Linked DNA regions of Arabidopsis thaliana. The protein of the gene in region 2 interacts with the protein of the main gene of each other region in a pairwise test. Each region holds a gene or a part of one and is shown on either strand. Other genes may lie near its edges. The genes, in order: PPD5, AT5G37670 and AT4G28440.

The links.
Region 1: the proteins of AT5G37670 (region 2) and PPD5 interact in a two-hybrid assay, tested with the Arabidopsis thaliana proteins (one large-scale study listed by BioGRID).
Region 3: the proteins of AT5G37670 (region 2) and AT4G28440 interact in a two-hybrid assay, tested with the Arabidopsis thaliana proteins (one large-scale study listed by BioGRID).

Annotation. Positions count from the first base shown.
Region 1 is NC_003076.8:3,651,437-3,658,624, reverse strand, and holds PPD5 (PsbP domain protein (Mog1/PsbP/DUF1795-like photosystem II reaction center PsbP family protein)), read right to left. Parts: upstream 4,234-7,188; 5' UTR 4,205-4,233; coding exon 4,101-4,204; intron 4,010-4,100; coding exon 3,834-4,009; intron 3,637-3,833; coding exon 3,507-3,636; intron 3,428-3,506; coding exon 3,378-3,427; intron 3,299-3,377; coding exon 3,231-3,298; intron 3,139-3,230; coding exon 3,043-3,138; intron 2,963-3,042; coding exon 2,903-2,962; intron 2,812-2,902; coding exon 2,752-2,811; intron 2,658-2,751; coding exon 2,603-2,657; intron 2,502-2,602; coding exon 2,452-2,501; intron 2,367-2,451; coding exon 2,268-2,366; 3' UTR 1,978-2,267; downstream 1-1,977. Other genes in the region: AT5G11460 (hypothetical protein (DUF581)), read left to right, coding at 237-1,111, 1,402-1,561; CID5 (CTC-interacting domain 5), read left to right, coding at 5,018-5,341, 5,422-5,565; AT5G11430 (SPOC domain / Transcription elongation factor S-II protein), read right to left, coding at 6,369-7,118. UniProt on the Arabidopsis thaliana protein: Involved in strigolactone biosynthesis.
Region 2 is NC_003076.8:14,964,976-14,971,826, forward strand, and holds AT5G37670 (HSP20-like chaperones superfamily protein), read left to right. Parts: upstream 1-3,782; 5' UTR 3,783-4,059; coding exon 4,060-4,473; 3' UTR 4,474-4,616; downstream 4,617-6,851. Other genes in the region: ARLA1A (ADP-ribosylation factor-like A1A), read right to left, coding at 4,822-4,939, 5,013-5,174, 5,274-5,428, 5,529-5,610, 6,086-6,123. UniProt on the Arabidopsis thaliana protein: Possesses chaperone activity.
Region 3 is NC_003075.7:14,056,967-14,064,071, reverse strand, and holds AT4G28440 (Nucleic acid-binding, OB-fold-like protein), read right to left. Parts: upstream 4,177-7,105; 5' UTR 4,019-4,176; coding exon 3,751-4,018; intron 3,296-3,750; coding exon 3,102-3,295; 3' UTR 2,686-3,101; downstream 1-2,685. Other genes in the region: AT4G28450 (WD repeat and SOF domain-containing protein 1), read left to right, coding at 14-41, 157-255, 336-405, 487-521, 609-683, 770-865, 967-1,030, 1,135-1,188 and 5 more; AT4G28430 (Reticulon family protein), read right to left, coding at 4,300-4,628, 4,713-4,778, 4,890-4,959, 5,063-5,204, 5,288-5,362, 5,455-5,608, 5,689-6,226; AT4G28420 (Tyrosine transaminase family protein), read right to left, coding at 6,663-6,911, 6,998-7,105.

The DNA.
Region 1 (7,188 bases), about 11 Mb from region 2:
TGATGATCTTCCGATGATCCTTTCCTTTGTATTGACGATTTCTTTGATCTTTCCCTTTCGGATTTTCCTTATCTAGGTTCCAAAGATTGTTGCTTTCCTTATTAAAAAATCAAAGCTTTGTTTTTTTATATTCTCACATTGTGAATTACTATACTCTTGTTTTATGCTATGGACCTTGGATCATTGCTTAAGCTAACATTTTGCTTTTTGTTTTTTGAGGGCACAGATCATCAATCATGTCTCAGCATTCCAACTATCAAATGACCACTGCTTCTGATTACTATTCGACAAAACCGGTCTTGTCAGCGATTAGAAGCCACAAACTCATCTCTAGTGTGTTTGAAGGAAAGTGTCCATCTGACTATGAATCAGCTTGGAGCCCAACTTCTCCTTTGGATTTCAGATTGTTCTCCACTTTAGGGAACCCTTTTGCTGCTTCTTCTTCGAGGTCAATCTGGAGAGGGAAACAAAGGAGCTGGGATTCTGGTAAAGTAGGCTTGAGCATTGTGCATTCTCTTGTTGATGATCATCACACTGATTCATCAGCAACGATTGTTTTACCATCACCGGATAGTAAAAACATAATCTTTGGATCTTTGATGAGAAGTGGCCAGAAACCTCATCTACTCTCTCAACCCTTTACCAAAGCTTTGATGCCCAAGGATGTTATACCAAATGCTGTTTTTGAGATTGGACATGATGTGATTGATGTGCTTGAGCTTCGAAAATCTGGCTCCGTCGATGCTGCTTACTGTTCCGGTGCTGAGAACTTCAGTGTGAACAACAATGCTTGTCAGGTGACCAAGCAAGACCCAGGATCACTTAATGGGGGTACTGAAAGTGACATGGAGATCTCAGAGGACTACACTTGTGTTATTTCACATGGTCCTAACCCCAAAACCACCCATTTTTACGGGGATCAGGTTATGGAGTCCGTAGAGCGCGAGGAGTTGAAGAACCGTTGTTGCAAGAACGAGAAAGAGAGCATTTTTGCTGTTGCTCCTCTCGACTTGACAACACCTGTTGATGTGTTACCTCCCAAAGACTTCTTGAGCTTCTGCTACGGCTGTAGCAAGAAGTTGGGTATGGGAGAAGATATATACATGTACAGGTACTCTCTTCTTCCCCTTCATTACTAGTGCACTTAGAATTGTTCCTCTATTCTCTTTGCATTTGTGTGTTTAAGATAAAGTCTCCAACTTTCGATAGTTTTGAGCCTACAATAGAAACTCCCTTACATGAATCTAATCTCCAAAACATAAAAGGCCTAATCATAGATATGGAAACTTAGGTTCTTTGCAGTACTTCGTTACTAAACTGCATAGCTTCGTTCCAAATGTAATGAGATCACACGCAAGTGAATATGTTGTGAAATATCAATGTCATGGTTTTGGTTTTCAGTGGATACAAAGCGTTCTGCAGTAGTGAGTGCCGTTCAAAGGAGATAGATCTGGATGAGGAAATGGAGGATGGAGATGAAGAAGAAGCAATCAAGTCTGTCTCGTCTTCAGACAAGGAGTCTAAGAAGAAGAGTAACGGTGTGTTCTTCACCGTGGGCTAATTCCAATACTCCCACCATTTCCATGATCGATTTGAGTCCATGAAAAGAGGAAAAGTAGAAGCTTGAGCTGATCATCTGTTCAAGAAAAAAGAGCTGTTGGTTTCTTTAAACTGAGGCGGCCATGGATGATCATTTTTGTATATTGCTTGTGCTTCTGCTTACCTAACAAAAAAAAAATACTTTTGGTCTCATCTCTCATGGTTTTGGTGGGTGATTGGTCCTATGGCTATTGTTATGGATATTTATAATTATGGTTCATCTATTCAGATATTATTATCTTAATTTATATAAGGGTAGAAGCCGGTTTATGTGGCTCCCCTCTGGCTACCTCTTTTTCATTTGTTAAATTTTTATGCTACCTTGAAAATCTTAAGGAGGCAGTGGTCAATGTATTATGATAGTAAAGGAGGTACTATGAAGAAGAAAGTTACTCCATCTTTTTTGTTCTTTCCCTGTGTATATCATATTCATATGATAGTAAATCTGATTCTGAGCCAAAAACTCTGTGGATACCAGTTGAGATGAGTTTAAAAGAAAATGCTAGTTATATCTCAATCTCAATACATCTGATAGTGAACAAGATATTCGGATTTGGAAAAATCACTTCGCTTGGCTCATTTCTCACACTACAACTTTCATAACCTCCTCTCCTATCAAAATTAACGACAATTTCGAAAAAAGAAATTTCATGAGGCAGATGGAAGCATCACCAAAACCTCCATGGATCCTTGTATGGAGGAACATAACTATCAGTAGGAGGAAGAAGCCTAAAGGATCCTACTGCTCTTTCTAACACCGGTCCCATCTGCATTTTATACAGACCCTCAAAATCAGACATCCTCACACTGATACAATAGATGTACAGAAAGTAGAGGTTACAGGTTTTGTACCTTGTCCCACTGCTTGCCAAGGGTTGAAGCATTTATGGTGTATAAGTATCCTGCAATGAGTGAGATTCAGGTAAATGTTGTTACTCTACATCAGGCTAAACAAACTCTAAACTTTGCATCTCAATCAATTCCCTTGTGAAAAGTTCTTTACCATCACGTTCAGCTGTTGAAGAAATATAGTGTCTGTAAAGCTTTGATGCTTCAGCCTGCCCACATATAGCAAAGCCAGTAAGTCCTATCAAAATCAATCTCCTTATGTCTTTAAACAAGAAGAATCTGCTCAGAGTTAGAGAGCATTACAATTTTGGTTGGTGATTTGCGGACAAGGTACTCGTAGTACCAGTAAGGCTCCCCATCAATCTACATATAGTAAGCATATGAGACTTGTGAGCTTTGTAGATTCAATTTTTTTTACGTTGTTATATGATTTGTTGTGGAAGATCATACTCACATCACTAGCATGAGCATCAAGAACCGAACTCTCTTCAAGACGCTGACTTGAGGTGACACGCTGCTCATTTAAACAATCTGTTTAATGTTTAAGAAAAGGAGAATTGGTAACTGTGATGTGTTTCATGTTAGAAGGGTTACCAATGCTGATTTATCAGACAAAACAGAATCAGCAACTTCTTTAGCGGACCATGTTTTCTTTTCTTTTGATGTTAATCTTGAGTTTGGGGGACCTATCTGAATCAAAAACCGTAAAAGACATATCACGAGAAAGATAGCAAAGAGAAGCAAAGCAGTCTTATGCTAAATGGGCAACACCAGAAACTTACCGAAATAGAAATGACGAGGTTGTCAGTTAGGTCAACTCGTTCAGAAACAATCCGTAAACGTGCATCAGCTGGACCAGTTGAAACAGATTCAGTAACAAGTTAATGCATCCAGAATTCATGAAAATCAAAAGGAAGCATAGAACTTACGAGAGAGTGGTGCAGCTGAAGAGTATCTTTCAGGCTTTCTTGATTCAACCCTGCATAACCAAAATGTAAAAGAGTGAGATACAGCTTGAACTAAAAGGAAGCATTACATCAAAAGGATTCAGTCAATACCATTTGAAGACAAGCTTCTCAGATGGATAATCCAATGGGTAAGCATAAGAATAAGCATTAATATCATCCACCATTGTACCCATTTTCAATTCTTCTCCACTCATTTTCACGTCTTCTTCTGCATGAGTGACTGCAATAACAAAACTGTAAACGTTACATAACCAAAAAAAGTAGATGATTATTAATGGACTAAACACTGTAAGAGATTCTCAATTTTCTTCCTTTCTCTCTACTAACCAATGAAAGGCAAGATTTTTAAGTAGAAGTGAAACTATCTAATTGAATCTACAAGATATTAAAAGACGAACAATAGAAGCAAAGCATTACCTGGAGAAGACAATGGCAAGAACATAGACAACGGAGAAGAGAGACCAATGAGCACTAAATCCCTACGAGAAAGCCCCTTTTCCGAAGAAATTGATCTCGTAGACACACCAGAACGAGCAATCATCAGCTCCTTTGAGGCTCCATGATACTTGCTCGAAATATTGCTGCTCCTGCACCTGAACACAATCTCATCCGAAATCACAAAAACATCTTACAGAAAAAGCCACTGGCTCGAGCACACAAGAAACATCACAAAAGATAATTAACCTGAAAAGACGAGAATTCGGAGAGGGAAGAGAAGGACAGAGAAGAGCCATAGCTATGGCGTGTTCTGGAGCTTCTTCACTTTGCTTCTTCCCTTTAGCTCTCATCCATTCACTCCTTCGTTTTGATACTTTTTAAACCGGTGGTTATCAATCGGTTTATTAAACCGAATTAATTTCAATCACGTATATTAGTATCCCGGTTAAAGATAAATATAACCGGGTATCCAAACGAACCCCATCGTGATGTTTGGTGTCCTTCATGTAAACGGACACTAACCTATACGATAATAATTCCATAAATACATGGGTTTGCCACATTAATCGCATCATTTAGGTCTCTGTCTCTACAATTTATTCGAGCGATCTTCAACGCTAGTTTTTGTTTGGTAAGCTCATTTTCTTCTCTCCTAATGTTTCGTTTCTTCTTCTCCTTTTACGTCGATCGTTGACAAGGTCAACAAACATTATTCCTTCTTTTCATTTTGTTTTGCATATAATCCACTCTTCTTCGCATCATTTCTTCTTTGTCAAGAATCTTTTACTTTTGCCCTGTTTTCTGTATTTTCCGACATCGATTTTTCCATGCAGTAACAACGCGAGCCAGATTCTAATGTAACCACATTTCTTTATTTTAATATCTTCAATTTATTTCCTTTAGATTCCTTATATACTCTGTGTTACGCCATCGAAACGTTGGCTTAGGAGTTAGGTCTCTTCATATCCTTTTTATTTTTTTTTGTTGAAATCATTAAAGGTTGTTTCATCATACCTCGTTAGACCAAATTTGAGATTGTTAGATTTTGCTGCATACGACATGTTTGGTTCTAATCAATATATCATTGTTTTGTATTTCTTTTCTGTCTCTGACTCTTAATTAACTTCTAAATTTAGCAGTAACTTTATCAGCAAGACAAAGCAATGAAGCCAGGAGCATTTGCATTGAATCCACATGCAGCATCGTATGTACCAATCTCCAAAAGAGTGGATTATGGTGGCGGTGATGATGGTTTGGTGTTTGCAGCAAAGTCCCCCACGGTTGAAGTGTCAATGCCGAAGAAATCCTCTGAAATGGCTTATAAGCAGATCAGGGATGATGATTTGGATTTGGAGATGGATATAGACATGGATATTGAATACCTTCTTGTCACTTTCTCTGGTCTCTCACAAGAGTCTATCACTGATGTTTACCTCGCTAATGGCGGTGATCTTGAAGCAACCATTGAGATGCTGAATCAGCTTGAGGTATATTCATTACTCACGTTTATTTTTTGTTTGATGTAATGATCTTAAGTGATGATTTTGATCACTCTTTTTCTATATAGATATACAGCACTGAATCTGAAGAAAACCTGCCAGAGACACTTGATATTGGGGATATCTCTGAGTCAGGGCCTTCAACATCAAAATCTACTGAAGTCGCTGCATCCACATCATCGGTTATCCCTAATGCACCTGTATCGGCCTGATCTCATGAATCCTTTAGTTGTGAAGTTTTGCTTCTTCTTCTTTTTCTTTTGTTTTGGTTTGCATACCCATAATAAGTACAGTAATGGGGGTATTGTATCAATGAAGTTGATGGTATCTAAGAGAAATGATGATATGTGAGTAGTTGGAAAATGTATAGTTTTGGAAGTTCAAATCTGAGTGGTGTGTTGTTTGGGCAGATTAGATTAGTCTGGTCTTTTTTGACCCCTTTTTTTATTTTGCAGCTCCATCTGTGGATTGGATTTTCCTATGAATAATATGATATTGATATGTTTATTATGGTGTATATGTAATCATCCTTTTAAAACTAGTACCAGTAACTTTGACAAAGGAGAATCTTTATAAGTTATAACCTTATTATTAACTTGTAAACCGAAATAAACTGAAATCTTCATCCGTTTAGAGCAAATTTTCCTGCAGGCTTGAACTCTGAGCCGAGCGGCCCATCAAAAAATCTTACTCTCGTTAGCCTCATTTTCAATAATCCTTTTAGATTCATGGTGAAACCTAGATAGAAGAAATTACTTGCTGATTTCCGGATTAAATTTGATGTTCAAACAAGATTTTGACATTTTAGCAAGATTCCACAATCAAACTTGTCTTTAAAAGCAGAGCAATACTGATTTTCGTTTTCTTGAGGAAACTCTGAAATGTTTTATTTGAAAAGTTGGGACTCTTCGAACATTTGCATTCTACGATGGCTACAAATTTTTTGAAAACGAAAAACTAAAGAGAGACTAGGAAACCAAAAAACTACAATTACAGAGAACACTCAACAGAGATATTAAAATCCTCTGTTTCTTGACTGGTTCCGCTCATAGTGTTGCCCTGATCCTCCGTTTTGATTATCATACCAACCATCTTGAGGCGGTCTAAATACCTCGGGTCTGAAGCCGAGAGGTGGAGGCGGCGGTGGTGGAAGCTGGTGGCTAGGGACGTGTGGCTGCCATTCAGGTATGTCGTCCTCATCGTCATCATCATCATAAGTGCTTGCAGATTTTCCATACTTGTGTATGAGCTTTCTTACTTGATCCAAAGACTTAGATTGAGCTGGTAATGGCTGAGGAGAAGAAACTGGCACAACCGAGGAATTAAAGTTAAATTCCGGTAAATCATCTTCGTCTCTTGAAGCCACAGGACCAAATCCAGGCGGCACATCATCATCAGCAGCAGTATCATGTTTCACATAACCATGATGGTGATTTCTCATTGATGCAACAACAAGAGGTTTCTCTGTAACATGCACTCTCTGCTTCTTGTTTACAGGCAAAACAGAGGTTTTAGAACCAATAGAAGAAGAAAAAGAATGCTGACGTTTTGAACCGGAACCGGGCTTGGGAACGACGGCTCGTCTCCACACAACAACTCCAACCAATCCAATATCCAAAGACTTGACCTCATCGAGCTGTTCTTGAGAGATGACTTTGTTTAGCAAATCTAGAGTCTCCCCACGTGTTGGGCAAAGGTAAAGCTCCACTCCTGAAGCTGGCTCTGCGTAGCCAACTCTCTGATCAGCAACGTAGGAATCAATAACCTTAACCAAAAGAAGAAGAAAAAAGATGAGCCTTCACGGTTCTGTTCTCAAATGTGTTGTACAAGAGAAC
Region 2 (6,851 bases):
CTATTGGTGATACCTTTATACCATTGGTGCTAAAGATATTTGTAAAAAAGTCCTGAGCGTGGTTTCCAATTTCTTTATCTCCTGTGAACATCCTTCCTTGATCGTCCATGATTGTGTTCACTCGATTTTGAGAATATCTTGTTTTTGTACATGCATGAAAATAGCCGGTGTTTTGATCGCCTTCCTTCATCCATTGATTACAACTCTTCTGCTTCCAATAAATCTCTTCGTCACTAAAGGCCTTCGCTAGTGACTCTTGAAGTTGTGGAATTAGTTGTCTTTCAACCCTCCTTGTACTCTCCATTGCTCTGTTTAGGCTGCTTTGAAGTTTTTTGATTCGTTGTTCTGAGTTTAAATTAGAAACGTGTTTCAGTCTTGCCATGGCTTGTCGACAACTACTGATCCGTTCCGTGATAGGTGTAGAACGTGAATTCCAGTTTGTCCTCCAGCTTGTTTGAACAATACGTTTGAATGTCGGTATGTCAATTAAGCGGTTATCAAAACGGAAAAGCTTTGATCGACGGGGAAATGACTCGTTGAAGTGAACTAGGACCGGTTTGTGGTCAGAGCCCGTGAAGTCCAGGAATTCTGTTTCAGCATATGGAAATGTTGCAGTCCAGGCTGAATTAATAAAAACTCTGTCAAGACAACATTTGACTGTGTGTGTATGTCTTTCCCCTACCCAACTGAATCTATCTCCTTTTGATCTCATATCTTCAATGTCACAATGAGAAACCATGTTTCTGAAATTTCTAAAAGTCCATTCCTCTCTCATGGGACCACCAATTTTTTCAGCGTTCGAAAGTATCTCATTGAAGTCACCCACTAGCAACCATTCAGCATTTCGATTATCTGAGATATTTTCAAGAGTTTGCCATAGTTGATGACGTTCAGATTGAGTAGGGTGACCATACACACAAGACAAGTAGAAGCTCTTGTTATTAAATGTTACATGAGAATCAATGAGTCTTTCATCCTGAGAAATCAAGGATAAAGAGACATTGTTTTTCCACATAAGAGCTAAGCCACCACTCCTTCCATTAGGGGGCTGAGTTATTACATTAGGGAAGCCTAAATCATATGCTAGTTTACATACTTTATCACACTGGTTTAAGGTTTCAACTAAAAATAAAATATCATAGTTATACATACGGAATAAGCGAAACAACCGTGATTGAGTCAGCGGCATACCGATGCCCTGACAGTTCCATGAGATGATCCTCATATTGGATCCCTTAGGGGTACCGGGCCCCCCGCGCCTCCGTCACGTCCATCATGTATCGAACACGATCCTGCAGATTCAGTCTTTCTTCCTTTCTTGCAAAGTTGACTCAGAACGCCCATTTCGTCTGCAGCTTCCACCTGTTGGTACATTTCTTCAAATCGAACCCTCTTTCTCTTCATGAAGACAAACTCATTTTGTGCATTGTCAGAGGACTCAAGGAGCAGATCTTTCTCAACCGGTGCGTCAGTTTTAACTCCTGCAAGTTTGGCGTGAAGGTAGCGGAGTCTTTCAACTGTGAGGTCTGTGTCCTCAATGACGCATGGAACCGAATAACCATCTGAAAGTTTTTGTACCTGGCGTTGATTCCCCTTTGAAAGCGAAGATTGAAGGCCGGGAATAAGAGTCGCTGGATCCACTGTCTGAAGAGTATCAGTGTCGCTTATGTCATGTTCTTTGTTGTCGTCGTGATGATCGTCATCATCATCAGCATCATCATCATCACTTGTCTCCACCGGATCTTCATTATCAAAGGAAAGGGTGCATGCCTTGATGTCATGCTTAAGGGAGCCACATTTGGTACAGAAATTCCTTAAACGCTCAAAACGAAACTTTATCACAGTGTTTTCACCATCAGCAAATTGGAAATTTCTTTGGAAGCGTAAAGGATCATCCAAATTCCAATTGATTCGAACTCGCACAAAACCCGTATGGTTTGAGTTCTCATCAAAGTCAACATCAGCAACATGTCCTAATCTATTTCCAACACATCTAGCCATTGCATTGGTAAGGAAAAGGAGAGGAATACCGGTGATTTGTACCCAAAAAGGAATGATCTTCATTTCAGCCTCGCTAAGGTTTGGATACCACCGATGAATCGAAAGCATCCAATCGTTGAATGACCACGGTCCACGACGGAGCACGAGATTCATCGCTTCCTCAGACTGGAACTTGAATTGAACTCTGCCTTTGTCAATAATCCGCCCGACGCACGAATCAGGAAAGCCCCAAACTCGTGGCATTTGTCCTATCAAGGCACGGAGGTTCTGTTTGCGTGGATTCACAGTTGTTACCACCAAGGAGAAACGGTTCACATATGCAGCCTGTGAACAAAATTCTGAAGTTAGAGCCACCGGTTCATCATCAATACCCAAGTTCAAATCCTGAACCGATTTACGAAGTCTGTCACTCATGATTGTGGATGACAGTGTTTGAGAAATGGTGAATTGCAGAAAAGGGAGAAGAAGGAGCGAATTGAAGTATATATAAGTTTGTATCCATGGCGGTTTGTGTGGGTAGTTACCCTCCGAAAGTGAAGGGCAATGATAACTGCCATGGAAACTGATTGGCAGAAAGTAACCGCCGTCATAAAACCGTGAAAAGAGACAGATTATGATGGTCGGAGAACTGCTCCGGCGAGGAGAATTGAAACGGTGTGAGTTAGGCAAAAAATCGCCCTCAGAGAGAGAGAGAGCCATCGTTTTAGCATAATTAGTAGTAGTACTTGATTTTACAAGAATTTCTTTTTTAAAAAAAATAAAAAATATTAATAAAATTAGATTTAACACGTCTATATACAAGAATTTCTTTTTTAAAAAAAATAAAAAATATTAATAAAATTAGATTTAACACGTCGATTATCTCTTTCACTCAAAGTATTTGATACATGTGTTAGCAAATTTGAAAATCATACTTTATATTATAAAATTTTTAAAAATCATTAACTATTCATCACCAATCTCTTCACTTCAAGTCTTCAACTCCCAAATTAGGGTTTAACCTTTTGTTTGAATTCTTATTCTGCCCAATGGAAAATGAAAATATTCGAATCAAAGTTGTTCCGTGGGTTTCGTATCTATCAAAAAATATAGAGTCTAAGACAGTCAAAATCTACCTAGATCCAAAAGTGATCTAACTATAAATAAGTCTAAGCCATAACTCATCTATTATACTATACTAGTGAATACAACTATTAAAATTCTTATATATAACTTGGAAGGTCCAAAGATTTTGGATCCATCAACAGAACAATTGGTTCAAATGTAAAAGTTATGAATGAAGCACAAAGTTCCTAACATGAATCGCACATAGCTCCAAACACGTATCGCACCGGTTTAAGAGACTACTAGCCACAAGGTAGGCAATGAGAGTCATTTCACTTTATTTGGTCTAAGTCTTGCGAATTCTCCATTTTCACGACTGATATGACTCGTTTTATATCTAGTCGTCAACTGTACTTAGTTTTGTTCGGGTTGTGAAATTTTCGTGATTGCATAGAATGTTACTCTTAACTTGATGTTAACCGGTTTCTCCATCATCGTGCAAAGCTGGAAACAAATTACAACAAAAAATCATGTTATAGAGCTAAAGAAAGAAAGGATTGAAATCAATATATGTTGCTATTCATGAAATCTTGAGTATATGAATTATTTTTGAAATTTATATTAATTTTTCTATACTTGAGAACATCTAAATATAATATATTTTTTATATTATACATATAATACTTTTCAAGATTTAAAATTGAAGAGTATATATATATATACCAAAAAAAAGGGACAACAGATAAAGATAAAAGGCCCAAATAATCACAAAAATCCTAGAATCGCATCGAACGGTTAGAATCAATCGATATCCATCATATCAATATACACTGCACCGTAGCATATAACAACCCCCTGGGCTTCTCCAAAGTTCTGGAGTCAGAGAAAATGAAGAAGAAACAAGATAACGAAGAACTGTCTCGACTTCTGTAATCTGTATAAAATACTTTCCACTCAAACATATATACACATCTCTAGAAAACAAGCTTAGCTAAAGAAGAAAGATAGAAGAATATGGCAGACAGAGGAATATTCTTGTATCCATTTAGAAGATTCCAAGAATGGTCAAGATCAACGGCTCTGATTGATTGGATGGAATCAAACAACTCTCATATCTTCAAGATCAACGTTCCTGGTTACAACAAAGAAGACATCAAAGTACAGATTGAAGAAGGGAATGTTTTGAGTATAAGAGGAGAAGGAATAAAGGAAGAGAAGAAGGAGAATTTGGTGTGGCACGTGGCGGAGAGAGAAGCTTTTTCCGGTGGTGGAAGTGAGTTTTTGCGGCGGATTGAGTTGCCGGAGAATGTGAAAGTTGATCAAGTTAAAGCTTACGTGGAGAATGGTGTTCTTACAGTTGTTGTTCCTAAGGACACTTCATCGAAATCGTCTAAAGTTAGGAATGTTAATATTACTAGCAAGCTTTGATGTCTAAACCGGGTTAAACCGGTTTTTGGTTTTCTTAAGATGAATAAAATTGGACTTTGTTATTTCATAAATCTAATGAATTGCAGTATGCCAGTATGTAATATTTAGGAATCCAATAAGATGTTAATATTACTAGCAAGCTTTGAAGTTTTAACCGGATTAAACCGGGTTTTGATTTTCATGAACCGAAAGTATTTGAACATTGAAGAATTGTAAAACAAGATTTAAACCAAGAAGAAACCAAAAGCTGATGATTTACATCTGATTGATTCTCAACAAATAAAACAACATCAAGAAACCAAAAACAAGCTTTGTTTTCCTCTAGACCAATGAGCTTGTTGTGTCTGTTTATGTGGCAGTTCTCGAGTGCTTAATGAGCCAATCGATGACCGCATCAATGTTTATCGAGTCCTTACACGAGATCATGTAACAGCAAACCTCTCTGTCTGTTACAGATTCAAGCCCTCTGCATCAAAACAATCCAAAGTCATATACTCGAATCCAGATTGTTTTGTATGGACTTTGAATAAGAAACTTACAGTTGATCAACCAAAGCTTGCTTAGAGAGAGCTTCAGACTTATCGATTTTGTTGCCAAGAATCAGAAGAGGAATGCCATTTAAAGACGGTTTCGTTAGCAGATCATTCAATTCGCTTCTTGATATCGGTACACTATCTCGATCTGCAGCATCAATCACATATCTGCAATATTACCACAGCAACATATACCATCAAAGATTATTAACCAAATAGTAACATGGGATGTTCAAAACATATCGAAGAAGTTTTAAGAGGATGTACACAATGGCGGAAACACCGCGACAGTAACGTTCCCACATGGTACGAAACCTTCGTTGCCCTCCAAGATCCCAAATCTTTATTGTAACATTTCCTTTTGTAACTTTCCTCATGTTAAATCCTACAGTTGGTATCATATCTTCACTGTAACCTCCAGTCTTGACAAATCCAAAGAAAACAAGAAGTGAAACGCGTAAGATTAGATTTGTTCGAGAATACTATTTATCGACTAAAACCTCTGATGAAATTTCTACTCACAGCAATGGCATTGACAAGAGAAGTCTTCCCAGCATTTTGAAGTCCAACGAGTGACAGCTCCATCTCTTGTTTGAAAAACAAGCTGACACAACAAATATAAGCAAACACAGAATCAAAATCTAAGTGTTACCAAAACGTGATTCTGCTATACACTAAAAACATAAGTATAACCAAAAACAACAATACATTACTAACCAACTATAACCTACTCTTTTAACCATTCTATAACATCACATAAAGCATCACTACTATAAATGGATTAAAATGACAATCAAGTCAAGAGAATTAATACACAAGAACATAGAAATAACGGTAGATTTCTCAGCGAACCAATTCATATAATGTAACAATAAAAGATACAGCCCAAGAAACTCAAGAGAAGTTTGAGATTTTGAAACAATAATTGTTGACTCTTTGTGAGAAAAATTGGTTTTTGGCAACGTTTTTACTAAACCCAGAACTATAACTCTAAACTACTTCAATGGAAGAACAAAAGGACTACAACTAATAAACCAACTTAATCAGCAAAACAAAATGAAAGTTAGAAATTTGTTTACCTCCGGAGCCAATTAAGAAGTGAATCCCAAAGACCCATCTCCAAAGATTTGATCTTTTCGAAGATTTAACACTCGAGTTCTGGATTTGGAGATTCAAAATCGAAATATTTCGTAGCCCTAGTTCGATTCTTGAATTTTGCTAGATGGGTAATGAGAGAAACAGAGAGGAAGAGGAACAGGGAAGAATCTGGACCTTACTTAAGGTAATAGAATTTGTCAGTTTGTGAAAACGGTGTCTCTTCCTTCACTCTTGGTGTCACGCTATTGTTGCTTTTAGAATTTTAGATGTCACCATTCTTTTTTTTTTTGTGTGTTCCTTTTATTTCTTTTATGGGAAATTTGCAAAGAATAACTAACAAAAATTTATAAATTAAAAAAGTAATACAAGAAAAAAAAAACAGCTATATTCTCTATATTATATATAATAATGGCATATTTACCTCTTTCTCTCTACCTTATTCTAAGTTCCTCCTTCTCTCCTCTCTTTTTCATCTTTTTTTTTTTTTTTCTCTCAATCTCTTCTCTTTTTTTTTTCTGTATAACACAACAAACAAACGAAAAGAACAAACTAGATTTTTCAGATACCACTTATGTTATCTGATTGCTTGGGTTGCCAAAGTTGTATCTTAGGGTATAGTTTTCTATACATCCAAAATAGTATAATACAACATTTTATTTCTATCCAAAATAGTACAAGTCTTTACTTACAAACACTACTTACTATTTTATAAATTCAAATTCGATTTTAAAAATTCAAACTATTTTG
Region 3 (7,105 bases), on a different chromosome or scaffold from region 2:
TTCTTCTCTGCAGATATTCGCCTTTGGGATATCTCTTCAAGGTTAAAATCTTGAAAACGAAATCCCCTCTGAATTAATTTGAACTTCATTTAGTATTAAAGGCTTTGCTTTGTGCTGTGCTTTTGGTAAATGAATTCTGGAACTTGAAACATGCAGGCGTACAGTTTGCCAATTCCCTGGTCATCAAGGTGCTGTGCGTGGTCTTACTGCATCAACCGATGGAAATGTATTGGTTTCATGCGGAACTGATTGCACGTAAGATATAATAACAATTTATTGTTCCAGTCGGTGATCAGATTTTTGGCTGTTAAACTAAGGTTAATGGATTTGTGCAGTGTTCGTTTGTGGAATGTTCCTCGTCCTTCACTTGAAGATTCTAGCATTTCATCTGAGAATTTCATTGAGGTAGTTCTTTCAATATTGTATTATCTGGAGCTTTCTCTTGCTGGTATATAACTACAAGCTTTTAACAAACTATTTTTTCAGCCATCTGCAACCTATGTCTGGAAGAATGCTTTCTGGTAGACTTCGTACACACTCTTTATGCGATTTCTCATGATTCTGTTGGTACAAAAAACTTGAGTTACTAAGCTTTTTGTCATTTCTAGGGCTGTTGATCATCAGTTTGAAGGTGACCTTTTTGCTACGGCCGGAGCTCAACTTGATATATGGAATCATAATAGGTACTCAGGCTCCTGCTAAAAGAAATCTTTGGTGTTTGTTTTAATTTTACGTAAGCAGGGCTTATGGTTTTACTTTTTGTAATTAGGTCTCAGCCAGTTCAGAGTTTCCAGTGGGGAACTGACTCTGTAATATCTGTTCGGTTTAATCCTGGAGAGCCTAATTTATTGGCTACATCAGCTAGGTATATTCTTTCTACTTTATACTTGTATATGTCATGTAATTGTCTGTGCTACACCTTCCAGAGCTTTCTCTAACACTGTAAGGGGATATCTCTTCTTCCAGTGACCGGAGCATAACCATATATGATCTCCGCTTGTCTTCTGCGGCAAGGAAAATTATCATGATGGTATAGTTGAAACTTTTTTACATATTCTCGTCATATTTAATCATTAATACCCTTCAAACTAAACAATTGCAACCGTGGTCTGCTAATTGCTTTTCTTTTGGCAGACAAAAACAAATTCAATTGCATGGAACCCCATGGAGCCTATGAACCTGACAGCTGTAAGTGATAATCATAAAGTGAATTTTTCTGTGATGGGCTATGCTAAATCAGCGTTTGTCTTTTGCTTATGTGCTAATTTTATCCCATGGGGAAACTGAATAGGCTAATGAAGATGGAAGTTGCTATAGCTTTGATGGTAGAAAGTTGGACGAAGCCAAGTGCGTGCATAAAGATCATGTTTCTGCAGTGTAAGAATGAAGAATGATTTATCTCAAGTATCAGCTATAATATTTAACAAGATATCATCCAAATGCATTATGATTATCTAATTTCATCATTTTTCAGGATGGATATTGACTTTTCACCGACTGGTCGTGAGTTTGTTACGGGTTCTTATGATCGATCTGTGAGAATCTTCCCATACAATGGAGGACACAGCAGGGAAATCTACCATACAAAGAGGATGCAGAGGTACAATCTACTGAACAGTCTATATATACTTCAAGTTCAGATGTTCTAGTGTACCACCTTGGTAATTTGATTTAGTCTAAGCAATTTCTAAATTTCATTTCTTTTTTCTTGTAGAGTATTCTGTGTCAAATATAGCTGTGATGCTACATATGTAATATCGGGCAGTGATGACACCAATCTCAGGCTATGGAAGGCAAAGGCATCAGAGCAATTGGGAGTTGTAAGATTCTGTGAATTTATACAAAATAAAGACCAAAAAAGAGTTACCACAGGCTTAGCAGTTGATCCAATAGTGCATATGATTATGAGATATTACTCGTACATGCTTTCTTAAGAAGTTTTAACTTGGAACGGTGAATTGTCAATGTTAATTGGTGTGTTGTGCTGCAGATTCTTCCAAGGGAACAAAAGAAGCATGAGTACAACGAGGCTGTGAAGAACCGGTACAAGCATCTTTCTGAGGTTAAGCGCATTGTGAGGTAAATGACCAATGAAAACTGTGGTTTTATCCCATGCTTTAACTCTGGAGATTGTCAAAAGATAACTATAGTAACATGGTAACGTTTTGGTTATTGTGAATTACAGACACAGGCACTTGCCAAAACCAATATACAAAGCGATGGGTATCATTCGAACTGTGAACGATTCGAAGAGAAGAAAAGAAGCACGAAGGAAAGCTCACAGTGCTCCAGGAACAGTGGTCACAGCACCTCTGCGCAAAAGAAAGATCATCAAAGAAGTGGAGTGACTCTACTCTTTCTCCGTTTGTTCCTTTCAAGGATGATGATACGTGGAGAGGATTGTATTGGTATAGTGAGGGTAAGATTAGGAACATGAACATTTTTGCTGTGTTGTAAGCCTTTCTTTATGCCATTAAGTTATTACCCATTTCGTTTTCTTTTTTCTCTTCACTACGTATTGTGTTCATTAACTATTCGTTTTTGGTGTTACAAAGCTGATCTTCAAAGTAACATTCTGATTTCAAAGATTTATAAAGTTTGGAATTAGACCGACTTAACTAGACAATGGTTCTATGATCCGTCGATGAATTTTATGCACTTACAATTTGTCTTAACAATGACATTAATCAAGGATGAGATGCTTTCGATGTAAAAAGTTGGGCAAAACTCTCTGTAACCGAGAGGGTACAATAGTGTACATCAAATAGTAATTAATGAAAAAACAAAGACATTAGTAAAGTTTAAGAAAGAAAAACTTATTTTTACTGTATTAGATAGTGCACAAGCAAGCTCTCAATGGTCTTTAACTTACATCAACACAAATTAAAAGGAACAATTGCATTACGCCATTACCGCAGGCTCAATAGTTCTCCAGAGCAAGATCATGACCGCATATTTTAGGGTAAAAAAGAAGAAGCATATTCCTACAAGCAACTCTGGACCAGTCATACAATCTTCATCATCTAAATCAAAGACCTTCACGGTAGAAAAATCAGAACCCAACACTCTCAGGGGTTAACCTCCATAAACATACTAAAAGATCACTGATCACCACCAACATTGATCAGTTCATACTCAACGAGAGACAGATTGTTATCCTCCTTGACAGTGAAAGACGCGGCTCCAGTGGCTTCGATGCGTCCCCATTTATCAACTCCTAGCCTCATTGTACCCTTGAACATGTCTATCCTTGAATTGCGCAGTATCACCGTAGCACCCGGCTTCATAAGATCAACTATACACACACACACACACACAAAAAAAACCAATAACATCATTAGAGCTAATCAGTAGCCACATCAATTGCACGAAAACTGGTATAACAAAACTTCACATTATGAAAAGCTATGAAAGTTTTGGGATAATGTAGACCATTCAATTGAACATAACTCAACATCTAACCAAGCAAGTTTCATCATCACTATAGGTAAGACTATACAGAGTTACAGACCCTCAAGGCCAAGATTCTTTCAAGCTTCAATTTCACAAAGACATCACTAAATACACATACAATAACTGATACATCATTTACCAAATAGTACTAATAGAAACACATTTACCATTTGCTCAAAATAGAAATTGATTAAGACAAACGAGAGAACAACAAAGGATAAGACTTATCACTCTAATAAACTACGAAGACACCATTTCTATATCCATAAAGCAAGAGAAAAGTGGAGAAACAATAACCTTGATCGTTACGAGCAGTGAAGAGGATACACCCAGTTTCGTCACCGATGAGACACTCAACGATTCGACTAGGCTGAGAAGGACGACTCAGAGAACTCGCTGGACGAGTCTTCCGGGTAACAGGAACCACGATATTAGCCTCAATGACTTTAACAGTCAACGTGTGACCAGTCGTTCCAGGCTTTAGCTGTTCCACCTTCACAAACACCGGTTTTCTCTTCACCGTCGAAGTTCCCGTCGCAACCGCAGCAGTTCCAGTCGTCGCCATCGCTTCAAATTACAATACCCAGATTTCGCGTTCGCCCTAATTTGGTGGAATCGATAAAACTTTTGGAGAAGAGAAATGGGAATTTAGGGTTTATAAAGAAAAGACGACGATGTGCTCTCTCCCAAGACGGACGAGAGTTTTTATCACCTGCTTCTCACAGTTTCATGAGCTTGTCACGTGTCAATTTATTATTTGATATTAATGACTGCTCTTTATTTATTATTACGTAAATGTGAAATATTATTACACAGGTGGATACTGAAAAGACACTAGTGACTAGACTAATAAAGCTTCTTTGGTGCTTTGGTTTCTGCAACTAGCACCAACGCTTGCTCTTCTTCTGCTGACCGCGGTGAAGTTGACTTATCCTCCGGCGATTTTTGTTGCTCCGGGTGAGTTTTTTCTTGTTGCTTCTTCTCCTCCTCATCCTCGGAATCTAACTGTAGATTCTGTCGTCTGTATCTGATTACTACTACTATGATAAACACTGCAATAAAACGGGTCTTGAGAGAAGTTAGATTCCAGAATGCAGTAACTGCAGAGCCTGCTACGAATTTCTTGTGTGTGCAAACTCCCCAAGCTTCAACAAATCTCCTTTGTGCACACTCAACTACACATAAGCAAAGATCAAAGAATCCTTAGTGTCAATCATTGGAACCATCAAAGAGCTACGCAGTCTGTTAATAGAGTTTACCTTTTTGGTTAAGCTGACTTGCGTAACATGAATATAGCTTTGGAATAGTGAAGCTAAGGAAGAAACCTGTTTAAAGAAACAATGCATACTCTGTGTCAATTCTACTAGATACAACTAAAGAAAACAGTTTAGCTTTCTTTGGAGTAATGTTGACATATAGTGTTTCAACAATCATACCAAAAGCACATAATCTCCACAATGTTATGAGGTAACCATACTCAGCTCCCATTAGAACAAAAGGTGCCACCTGAAATCAAAGTAAAAACAGTGTAAGAAGGACAAAATCAACGTGAGAGTCACATTCATTGGAGAGAAGTTTTATGAGAATGGCAAAGTTTTGTAAATTCTACTTTGAGTGTCATTGCTGGTTCACCAGAGAAAAGCTCACTCGTCTTTGAAATTGCTAAATTGGTGATGGGAAGCATTCGTCTAGCTATTCGTAATACATCATCTTCACTCAATTTAAGCTCTCTCCGCGCTTCTTCAGTAACCCTTTATGGTAACAAATGGATCAAAACTTCAGTCAACTGCAGTTCAAGCTGATATTTATGTACTGGGACCTTAAAAGTTTGTACCTTTGGCGAAGAGTATTTGACAAGAACGATACCCCAAGAAACAAAAGTCCAAGATAGGAGATCGCTGAGAAAACACTTCAAACCACACAAAGTTTCATTATCAACTCATGAATGTGAAAAATGATTAAAGCTAGAAAGATAAACCTTGACAGAGAAATCAATGTTACCTAAAGTTAAATCCTTTAGCAGCAAAGCAAGTAGATAGGAAACATATACAGCCAAAACCAAACCAAAGTGTTGATTTCGCAACATCTCTCCACATAATCAAATCGCTTATATTCTCTCTAATCCGCTCTAAATCACCTTGACAAACATCTTGAGCTGAATTACACAAATCATTGAGCAATTATTAGAGCACGAAAGTGAAATCGAATGAGCTAATAGACAGAGGAAGGACATACGTTGATCTGAAGATGGACTAGGAGAAGCTAACAGAGGAACAGAACTGTGCTTCTCCTTCTTAGATCGACCCAACTTCTTCTGTTTCCTCTGGTTTTGTTTCTTTTCATCGGTCACGACAACAATTGGCTCCGTATTTTCCTTTGTATCTACCATCGCCTCCGACCTTAGTCTCGACCTCCGGAAATTCCTCGGCGACGGCGAGGCCAAAAGACCATTTTGCCCTCCCTTCGTCTTACTCCGTCGTGCCGTCACAGCAGCCTCCGCAGCTTCCATATCGAACCGATTGCTTAAACGGGTTCTCGATTTACGAAGAGGGGAAGGAGATAAAAGGAGAATCTCACGAAGAGTAACAGGAGAAGATGGTGAACTGAGAGAAACAGGTGATGGGTAAGGAGTACCGTTGTTGTTCTTCGGAGACAATAAAACCAAATCGAGAGATGGAATGTGAGATTTTACGAGAGTTTTGTTGTTTCGAGCTAGACGCAAAGCGGATCTAGTATTCGAACGGAGAGAAGGAGGTGTGGTAGTAGAGTCCATTGTATGAGAAAGTTTTTTTTGGGAAAAAGAGAGAACTTTTTTCGAATCTGAAGTGATTAAATGAGAGGAATCTCTGGGAATTTATTAGGGTTCTTGAAGATGTGATTTGGGGATTCTTAATTCCGACAATTTGAGCTCTCTGCTTTTTCTCCGGCTACTGTGGATCAGAGAGCCGTTGATGAAGAAAGAAAGTAAAAGACAAATCTTTTGCATTTTTTAAATTTGACGGCGGCAAAGTGGGTCCGTCTCTTTTAACGGTAAAGATAAAGTCTTGATTCAACATTATTCATGTCTTTTTCTACTTGACTCAAACAAAGAAATAAGATTAAGAAACATAGAGTTTCTTATATGAAAATGACATGATTATTGTTTTTTACACCACAAAAATTGCAGATTTTTTATTTGGTTGTGTATAGTCTCTCTATAGATGAGTGGTTTAGATTTTGCCATTGCTCAGAGCTTGAAAAGAAGATTCTGTTTTCTTGAGATGGCGTTTGCAGAAGCCATTGAGCCTCTCAAGTGCATCTTCCAGCATCTGAGCTTCTACTCCAATTGTTATCCTTATCCAGTTCTTCAATCCCAAAGCCACTCCTGGTAGTAAGACGAGGTTTTCTTCTTTGGCTAGCTTCATACAGAAATCCATGTCGTCTTCTATGTCCTCCAACAATGGAAGCTTCAGCTTCGTCTGCAGTTTAATTGTTGTTAAGAAATAAGAATCATCCAAATTGATCTAGAATCATGAAAGAGTATAAGAGACGTTGGTGGTGGTACCAATAAGTAAGTGCATGACTCAGGTTTCTTGTTGCAGACCAAGCAAGGAATCTCCTTGAGCCTATCACAGACCAATTCCACGTTTTGTTTCAGCATCGAATTCTTCTT